Linked DNA regions of Caenorhabditis elegans. The protein of the gene in region 2 purifies or fractionates together with the protein of the main gene of each other region. This does not show direct contact. Each region holds a gene or a part of one and is shown on either strand. Other genes may lie near its edges.

The links.
Region 1: the proteins of egl-27 (region 2) and wdr-5.1 purify together in Caenorhabditis elegans (affinity purification with western blotting, with the first as the bait; one study listed by BioGRID). This does not show direct contact.

Annotation. Positions count from the first base shown.
Region 1 is NC_003281.10:3,703,192-3,707,284, reverse strand, and holds wdr-5.1 (WD repeat-containing protein wdr-5.1), read right to left. Parts: upstream 2,001-4,093; 5' UTR 1,999-2,000; coding exon 1,885-1,998; intron 1,822-1,884; coding exon 1,564-1,821; intron 1,518-1,563; coding exon 860-1,517; intron 809-859; coding exon 708-808; 3' UTR 501-707; downstream 1-500. Other genes in the region: dph-1 (2-(3-amino-3-carboxypropyl)histidine synthase subunit 1), read right to left, coding at 318-398; C14B1.3 (F-box domain-containing protein), read right to left, coding at 2,329-3,022, 3,070-3,197, 3,246-3,513, 3,565-3,629. UniProt on the Caenorhabditis elegans protein: Contributes to histone modification. May position the N-terminus of histone H3 for efficient trimethylation at 'Lys-4'. Required for di- and trimethylation, particularly for the trimethylation at 'Lys-4' of histone H3.
Region 2 is NC_003280.10:6,832,870-6,838,132, forward strand, and holds the start of egl-27 (Egg-laying defective protein 27), read left to right. Parts: upstream 1-2,151; 5' UTR 2,152-2,211; coding exon 2,212-2,296; intron 2,297-2,585; coding exon 2,586-2,704; intron 2,705-2,717; exon of another isoform or gene 2,718-2,824; intron 2,825-3,757; coding exon 3,758-3,898; intron 3,899-4,982; coding exon 4,983-5,108; intron 5,109-5,157; coding exon 5,158-5,222; intron 5,223-5,263. UniProt on the Caenorhabditis elegans protein: Transcription factor which promotes stress survival and delays aging. Required for cell cycle progression and development of the mesodermal and endodermal embryonic lineages.

The DNA.
Region 1 (4,093 bases), on a different chromosome or scaffold from region 2:
GCAGAAAAAAAACCCTTTTGAAATCCACGTGGAAACGGGCTAACGATGGGTCTCGTTAGGTTTTTGGCGGCAAAACTGGATGTTCAAAAGTTTTCAGTTAGTTTCCCCGATTTTCAAGCATTTTTCGTTGTTTTTAATGATTTTTATGCCGAGATTTATGAAAAAATTTATTTTTTGACATCAAATCATTAAAACCAATTGAAAATGCTTTGAAATCGGGCAAGAATAATTGAAAAATTCGATTTTCGGTTTCTTAACCTAAAGAGACCCATAGTTCAGGGGTGGGGCGTTTACTTAGAAAATCTGCGATTTCTTACAATTTTCAGATCTTCTTTAAGATTGGGATTATTTGCAATTTCCTCAACTAGCGTCGAAATCTGTGTAGCCCGAGTTGCCATTCTAAAATTTTCAGCCTCAATCCAGAAAAATAAAATTAAATCTGAAAATCAAATAGAATATCGAAATAAAACGAATCAATTGAATGATCATCTCAATCATCCCACGGAAATTAATATTTATGGATTTTTATATTAGGAAGAATATATAAGGAATGACAGAAAATACGAAGTTTCAGAAAAAAAAGTGTCTGGCCACCGCGCCTCTATAATCAAGGAATATAGGAGATCAAGAAGGAAAAGCATATATACACGGTGACCAAGGGGTAAATATAAATCAAATTTTCGAAATTTTAATTAAATTTAAACAATTTAAACATCCGAGCGCCATATATGAATCTTGTTGTCTGGCTCGAGAGCTCCTGAGGCAATGATGTTCTGAACTGGATGACAATCGGAGGCTAGCACGGGTTCTGAAATGGAAAAAATTTAAATTTGCATTTTTATTTTATTTTTCGACTTACGTGTGTGTCCTTCAAGACATTGAACTATTTCCCGAGTCTGGAGATTCCAGATGTAGATCTTACAATCTTCGGAACCACTGATGATCCATTTTCCACCGGTAACAGAGAAGTTGGCGAAGATGCAATATTTGCTATTCTCGTGTCCAGTGTATTGTTTCAGGGTTTTTCCTTTCGAGAAATCCCACAATTTCAAAGTGCTGTCGAGGTTCGATGCGAGGATGTATTTTCCGTTTGGAGAGAACTTTACAAATGCCACCGGAGGATTCTCGTCGTCGACCAGAGTCTTGATGCATTGCCCATTGGCAGTGTCCCAGATACGAACTAGACCATCGTAGGATCCCGATGCGATGAGGCTGCCGTCTCTGTTGAAAGACACTGCTGACACTGGATCTGAGTGTGCTGGGAGGGTTTTTATGCACATTCCTGTCTTGACATCCCAGATACGAACGGATTCATCGAATGATCCGGAGACAACGAGCGATGATTGTGGGTTGAAATTGCAGCAGAAGACGTAGTTATTGTGTCCTTTCAAGGTTTTGGTCATTCTCGACGTTACAATTTCGAAGATTTTCAGTGTTTTGTCGTCGGAAGCAGAGACAACACAACGGCTGTCGGAACTCCATGCTATATCGTTTACACCCAGTTTGTGGCCGGTGAGCTGAAAATTTAAGGATTAATTGTAATTTTCATGAGCGGAAACATACAGTTCGCTCACAAATCATGTGATCCATGTTCCAGATTTTGACGGTTTTGTCCGCGCTGCTTGTTCCGAGATACTTTCCACATGGGGAAAATTTAGCTGAAGAAATCGATTTTGTGTGTCCTTCCAATGTACACATCAGCTTATAATTTGCTGAACCCGAGGCTGAAGCTCCGGCGGCGTTTGGATTGGGAGTTTGGGCACTGGCACCTGGAGCGGGTGTGCCAGTCGGATTTGATGGCGAAATTGAATTGGGAGAAGTCTGGAAATTGACTATTGTGAAGTCTTATTCAAAAATATACTATTTAACAATAACGAAACCTACAGATGGAGCAGGAGCTGAAGAACCTCCATCCGGAGCATTTGGTACTGTTAATTGATCGATTTGTTGTGTTGGCTGTTGCTCGGCAGCTGAAGCAGCATTTTCGCTGGTATCCATATCTGAAATCACAGCAAAAATCAAAAATTAAGTTGAAAAATGAAGAAATTCATTCAAAAAATATAAAATAGAAATCGTCGTAAGATGCAATGTGCGGTACGCAGAGGCAAGGGTGCATGCACAGCGAACACACAATTTGACGCGCAATGTTTTTGCAGTTTTTTTTTCGGAATTTCTTTTTTTTCGTTAATGAACTCATGTCATGACATGTATCCGTGTCTGATACGTGTTAAAATATTTATATATTCATTCGATTACAGATATAACAAACTTTTCCAGTCATACAAACACTTTATAAAACAGTTAAGCGAAAAATTGTCGGTGCATTATTTAATCTTCCTCGTCTTCATCTTCATGACGAGCCACAGCGGGAGGAATTCCATACATGTGACGACCACGACGAAAGAGTGGCATTCTAAAAACTCCGACTCTTGGCGGTACTTCATCATCGTCATCATCCTCGTCTTCAGCGTTAGGATTCTCGTCTTCATTGCATTTTTCGGAATCAACAGCGAGTGGTTTAACTATTGGCTCATCAGGCAGAATAACTTCGACTTGAATATTGGCAACTTTTGGTCCGTAGAATCCTCTCCAAAATTGTCTATCTTCACCTTCATTCAGAATAGTTAAATGTCGAATTCCAGACGGGTAATCGTCAAACTCAATTGTCCAATCTTCCCAAGGTTGACCAGTCCATTGAGCCCATTCCTTATTTACAGATTTATATCTTTTATGATCAGTGTTGCTCATAGTTTGTACATGGCCAAATCTTTCAATCCACTGAGTCTCGTGATAGTTCAACTGAGCAGCAAATGAGAGCCTGGCTGCACAATCATTACGATGATTGACTTTCTGTGTAATTCTAATTCTCGGGCGAACGTGATCCAAGATCCATGGGTCAATTCCAGAGTTCACCAAATCGATGAAAACACTGATTGAGCTCTCTGTGAATGAAAATACGAAGCACTTGGAAACATCCGGATGTGGTTCACAACCGTTTCCTCCATCTCTTTCCATGTGGATTCTGAAATTGTAAATATTGATTATTTTAAGAACAAAGTATTGACATACCCACTGCCATTCGCTCTGATTGAAAAATCATCTGAACGGAGAGTTCCACTTATTGTGTTGTCACGTGCATTTTCAAAATGAGAAATGAAAAGCGGAGTGATTGGTGAGTAGCCTCTTCCAGACAGAACCTGAAGTAAAACTTTGTAATTTTATTACTATAAAATGCGATAACCTACTATTTTTTTAATATTAAAATTAAAACTTGAAGTGTCAATTTCATTGTCTTCATTTCCAACAAACTTCTTCTGTGTCGCTGCTCTTCTCCACTCCAAAGATGGAAGAACATTTGATATATTTAAAATTCGAGCATATTCAATCCAAAACGAGTCACTTGATATCAAATCATTGAATCGATGGCAAGCCAATTGGCAGTTTAGAAGTGATTTTTTGTCCAGCCTTCGGAAAATTGGCGAGAAACATTCGTTCGGCACAGTTTCTGCATCTCTGAAATAATTCTAGGTGAAAAATTGATATTTTAATTAAGAAAAAACTCACATTATCACTGGAACATCGGTTTTGAACTGTAGACTTTGCATTATCGATGAGAACGCTTTAAACATTTGGGGTCGATGAGAACAATATTTTTCGATTTTAAAGAGAAGAAATGAGTCAGAAGGAGAGAGACGCAGAGAATGGAAGTCTTGCGAAATGCGCATGCATGTGATATTCGTGTTCCAAAAAACTATCACGCTGTTAATATTATTATTTTAAAGCAAAAATATTAATAAGAAAATATTCAATGCTATTTTGAGAATGAGAAAAAAACTTTCTGACAAAAATATTGAGAACCTCTAGATATTCAACTTCTTTATATATTTTATTTTTTTCCTCATCTTGCTGACTGCAACTTTTTAGATTAGTTGATATATATTTGTCTTTCTCTTCTCTTAGTTTTACAGGTTACGAAACATTGATGATCTTCCTTATCCAAAGATACGTGGACAGCAAGAAATAACTTGTCCCACTTTCTAGGTTATCGCCGCCAATACCAAGGTCAAGCAATTCATGTTCTTCAGATTTGTGT
Region 2 (5,263 bases):
GAGACGAAGACGTCGACACAATCGGTGTTTATTTTTGCGACGTAGGGCAATTTTACTCGCAAACATATGAGAGGGGAGGCGCCGACGACACCCGGGCGGGCGGCCTGACGAGAGGTTTAGATAGCGGGGGAAATAGAGAAGTTGGAATGAAGCGGCTGCTATTGCTGCCACCGCACGGCAAGAAGCGGACACAATTCAACCCGAAGATATTTTTTATGTGCACCTAGATGAACTCTTTTTGCAAAACCTCTCAATTAGTAGACCTTTGAAACTCAACAACGTTTGGACGAACCTAACTTGACACCGCCGCCTTTTTCTCTAATCTTATCTGATGAAACAGAACATCTGATGTTATCACAATCAATCAAATCTTATTCATCTCTACGAATTCGTAAATGTTTTCACTTACATATAAATTGGAAGAAAAACGGATTATCGTTCCAGAGATCAAAAAATGATGTGCCTCCCCTTTTTTGCAATTAATCCTCAACTCGTATTTCTCTTTGTATGTCTTGAAAATTGAAATTTAGACAGTTTAGTTGTTATCACGTCAGTTTTGTGTATTCCACTTGAACTATCTATCTGGTTGGTTAGTCTCCTCCCACCCATGAGTCTTTCATTTATGTTTGTCTAGCCTGACAATTGACCTGACCACCAACCATCAGGTCTCTCCCACGTTTTGTATTTTTATTATGCACATTACGAACTGTGTGAAAATGGCTGTCGTATCATAATAAATTTTGGAAAAAGAAAACATCTGAAATGTTGCCAGTTCTTTGATTCTCAAAATGTTCAAATGATATTCATAAGACTCTCATCTTGTTTGCCATATTGTCATTAGCAGGTCATCCTCTTCTATTCAATTCTGGCTAATCCCCCGTTCCCCCTTTCTCTTATAATTCATCGTTCCTCACTGTTTGGTTGAATGAAAGAGCACAACAACACTTGTAATGAGTTATTTCATATTTTGAAAAAGTTGCCACGTCATGGAAAGCCAAGACACAGTGGCGGTCTGCTTTGAGGTCGTCACTGTCACCGTCGAACTGTTTTTGATCGCAAACATACATCGGTTGTCTCGTCTCTCGGGTTGTCTCTCTCTACCTCTCTCTCTCTCTTTTCCTTCGGTGACTACCTCTCCTCCCTTCCCGCCACACCGTCCTCCCCCTTCCACCGACTATTCCACCTTTTTGTGGTATGTACTAGCACTATTCTCTGCGTCTGTTTTACAGTTCTCATTCTCTCACACACACTTATTTTTCCCCAATTCTTATGGTAGTTGAATGTGAGTACAGTGTCCACTAGGATCTAGACTTCAGGACTCATTCTGAAAGTTGAGCCGAGGTCACGTGTGAAAACTGAGCTCTTTTCCTACACCTTGCCCCTTCTTGACAATTGTCGTTCTTCCTCTTTCTTATCATCACTTGACTTTTTTGAGCGACATGCTGGACAAGACAAGTCGTTTAATGGATGATGTTGCGATTTACTATCATCTGTTAGTATGCGCTAAGTAGGTGCGAACGTATGACGAGTTACAGTAATTTATTAAGCTTGAAGGTTTTTGAAGGATTTTATGAAGTTTGATCAAGTTCTTGAGTTAAGTAAACATTTTCTCTTGTGATCTTAATTGATTGTGAAAATAGTGAACAATTCAAGTTCTTGAAAAGATTTGATTTGTGTAAGTTAGAAAATGTGTGTTACCAATTACTGTTGTATTTGACTTCTAATGGATCTTCCGAGTCAATCAGATTCCTTGGCGCTCGGTGGTCCTGCTCCTGCTGCTAAATACACCAAAATATTTGATGAATGCGGTGCGACGGCGATGCCGCCAATGTCTCTTTTCCTAACGGACCAGTCGTGTATGTGCTCTGTGTATGTGCCCCACTAACCGACGACGACGACCCTCGCCCGCCCCACGCCACTCCCACACCCCACCCCGTCTTCATCCCTTTCCTCTCTCCCGTCTTCCTTTCTTCTATCCCTCGGTGCTGTTCTAGTTTGTGTTTTTACTAGGCTCTAGAGGGTTCCGGAGGGAAAGAAAAAAGAACTTCTGTGCTTTTCATCACCATCTTCCTCTCTCATCTCATCTTTTCATTTTTTATCCAGCTGATTTTCGTGTGTTCTCAATGATTCAAATTAAGACCAATTCTTTAGGATAGTTCATCATTTTTGGGGGAGCAAACTGGAAAAACTAAAAAAGGCAACAAGACAAAGATGAGCCGCTTTGACAGCCAGTGCAGTAGTGAAGACGTCAACAAAGAGGACGAATGTGTGCCGTCGTCATCTGAGGATAGCCAAGGTAATGAAATTGTAACTGAACCGTCTCTGTGTCTTCTTGTATGTCATGTCAACCTAGATACGGGTATTCCCAGTGGGGGCCGTTCTTTTAGAAAGATGGCCCCATCTTCACCAGCGTAAAATGTTATGATTCTCGCTGCGGATTAGCGCTTAGCGGATTAGTCGAACAAATGTACGAACACATAAGAAGACACATGCGGCAATTCTTTTTTGTAACTTTTGATTGTGTGATCTAGATTCTAAAGACCGCCTACTTGAAATAATTTAAAATATAAATTATCAAATTTCAGACGGCGTTTCTTCCCCAATGGAAAACGATGACGAACCAGAATTTTCCCAAAAGCATTACGATATTGAACCATGTTATTATAGTCTTACAGGCAAATCGGATAGGAATTGCCGTGGAATAGTAAGTCATTTTTTAATTCAAAAATCTGAAATTTGAGTAATTTCCTGTACTCTTTAATAGTTATAATCTGAATAGACATCTTATGTATGCGTATCTTCTTCCCCTTCAATATCTCAACACTCGAAAAACCAATTAATTGTCGTTCTGTCGAGTTTTTGGAAGAGACACAGACATTTAGGCAGTTTAGTGTGTAGGGGAGGTCAAAAGGAAGAGGAGACGCTGGTCATAATTCAAATTCTCTCCCGATTAGACGAACATCGCTACAAATAGACAAAAACCTGGATTTCAATCTTTTTTCACCCGTTTTTTCTGCGAAACGTTTTGATGGCTAAACCTCAAACATTGCGCTTACACACACACACATTGCGAGCTTCAAATCGAGAAGAACCAGATAGTCAAACACTGAGAAGATCGCGAGCCGAAAAAAAAACCGAAGTGACCTCTCTTCTCGTTTCGTCAAAAATTGAAAATTGAACTTTGACTAGATTAGTTGTCAGTCGGCAGCATACTTCCTCGAATTGTGCGCATGTTTTCCAAAAAAAAGCGAAGCGAGGCAAAAACAGCTGCCCAATTTTTGATCTGAAATTCGAGACAATTGCTTTTTTCTGGCTGGCAAGGAAAGCAAAGTCAACAGAAGTTTTCGGAGACCCCAGAGAGATGCTTCTTCCCTCAAGAGAGTACAAACAAAAGAGACGCTTGAGAGTTAAAAAGATAGATACTATGCGACAATAGACACACAAACACAAAAAAACATTTTTTGCCGCATTATATGATTTGTTTGTTTGTTTTGAAATGTGCGCTCATAATATTTCATTCTCTCACAGTTTAGTGTTAGTTGGCATTGACCTAGTGTGAGACGAGGTGCCAATTGACAACTGAAGCTAATGAGAGGAGAGACGCAGACGACAAGTACAAGTGAACACTAGTTCATTTCACCTCAAAGATACAGAGAAACCGGAAAGATAAATAAGACAGACTAGTTTCTAATATAATATCGTTAGTTGAAAGTTTGAAACATACAAATCTACTGATTTACTAAACATATTTTTTCAGGTATACCGGTATCGACAAGACAGTGATCTAAAAGGGTTTCAATCACATGATGGCACATTGTACAGGCTACGAGATTCAGTATTCGTAGAAGTGTCACAAAACGAGCCGTATGTGATAGCGGCAATATGCGGATTTAAATATGTGAGTAATGAGATCGTGAGGCATGTCAGCAGATGGTTCTGCCATATTAAGGTTTTTGAAATAATTGTTTCTTGGAAACTTGTTCCTCAAAAATCAGAACCACAATAGATCAAATCGTTCCACAGTGTTACAATGAAATATTTATATAATGGGCAACACTCAGTGAATGTAGCGATAAGATAACAAATTCGGCATTTAAAAATTAATGTTGCGAGAAACCGGGTGATGTTTGACAATTTCGAAATAAATTGATAGAAAAGGGGGTTTAAGGACAAATTGAACTTTTTGGAAAATGAAAAATGAGGTTTTCTTTTTGAAACTAGAGATTCTTTGATACTTTATAATCTCTGCTGACCTCTTCTCAAATTCCAAACAACTATCAATTTACTTGTTCTCTATATCTCTTCATTCCCTTGTTCCTTGAACTACTGGTTTAGAGGAGGAGAGAACCGCACTTGTGTAAATATTGACACAGTTTTAGTGGGTTCATGTATTCCCTTCATGTTTTCCTTTCGACTGATAGCACTGAATACTTTTTTAAACATAAAAGTATAAGGAAGATGTCATTGAGTCATTTGCCCACTTGTTCGTCCTTCAGAACCCACTAAAAACCGTGTCATAATCGGATTGCGCGGGAAGTCGTTGAGAATTAGAGAATGCATTGAAAGTGAAAAAACATAAACTTTTTAATTCAAACACTTTTATAGTATCATCACAAAAACATACATTTTAGTATACACAATAAAAGTAGAAAGTTTGCTCACTTTTATGAGCTGTGAGAAGAACATAATGTTCCTCTTTGTTGTTGACAAAGCACATTCACGTGACCAACTGATGAGCTTATTTTAGAATTTAAATAGGAAATTGGGATAACTAGTTTTTAAAGCCAAAATTCTAAGAGCAACAAAATTACAATATTTTCTAGTTTTGACAACGCAGGGATAATTTTTCTTCTGGATTTTCAAAGCCGAAAACTGAGTTTATCAAAAAAGGTAAATTCCTTTGACAGGGCTACACATAGTATTCAAAAAATGATAAGAGATTATATATTTTTCAAAACAAAATAAAGAATACCAATTTTCAGACAAAACGAGATCACGTGGTAGTGAAACTTACGAGGTACTTCAGAGCAGACGATATACCTGAGATATCTTTAAATTTAATGAAACAAGAACGAGCTGAGCTTGAAATCAATCCACATTTATGTCCAGTTAGTTTAATTTTTAAGATTTTCAGAATTACTCACATTTATTTTTCAGCAATCATTAAATCGAGAATTATTTAATTCGGAATTACAAATTACACAACCAGTTTCATGTTTAAGGTGAGTTCTTTTTTAAATTTAAAATACTAAAAAAATTGAAA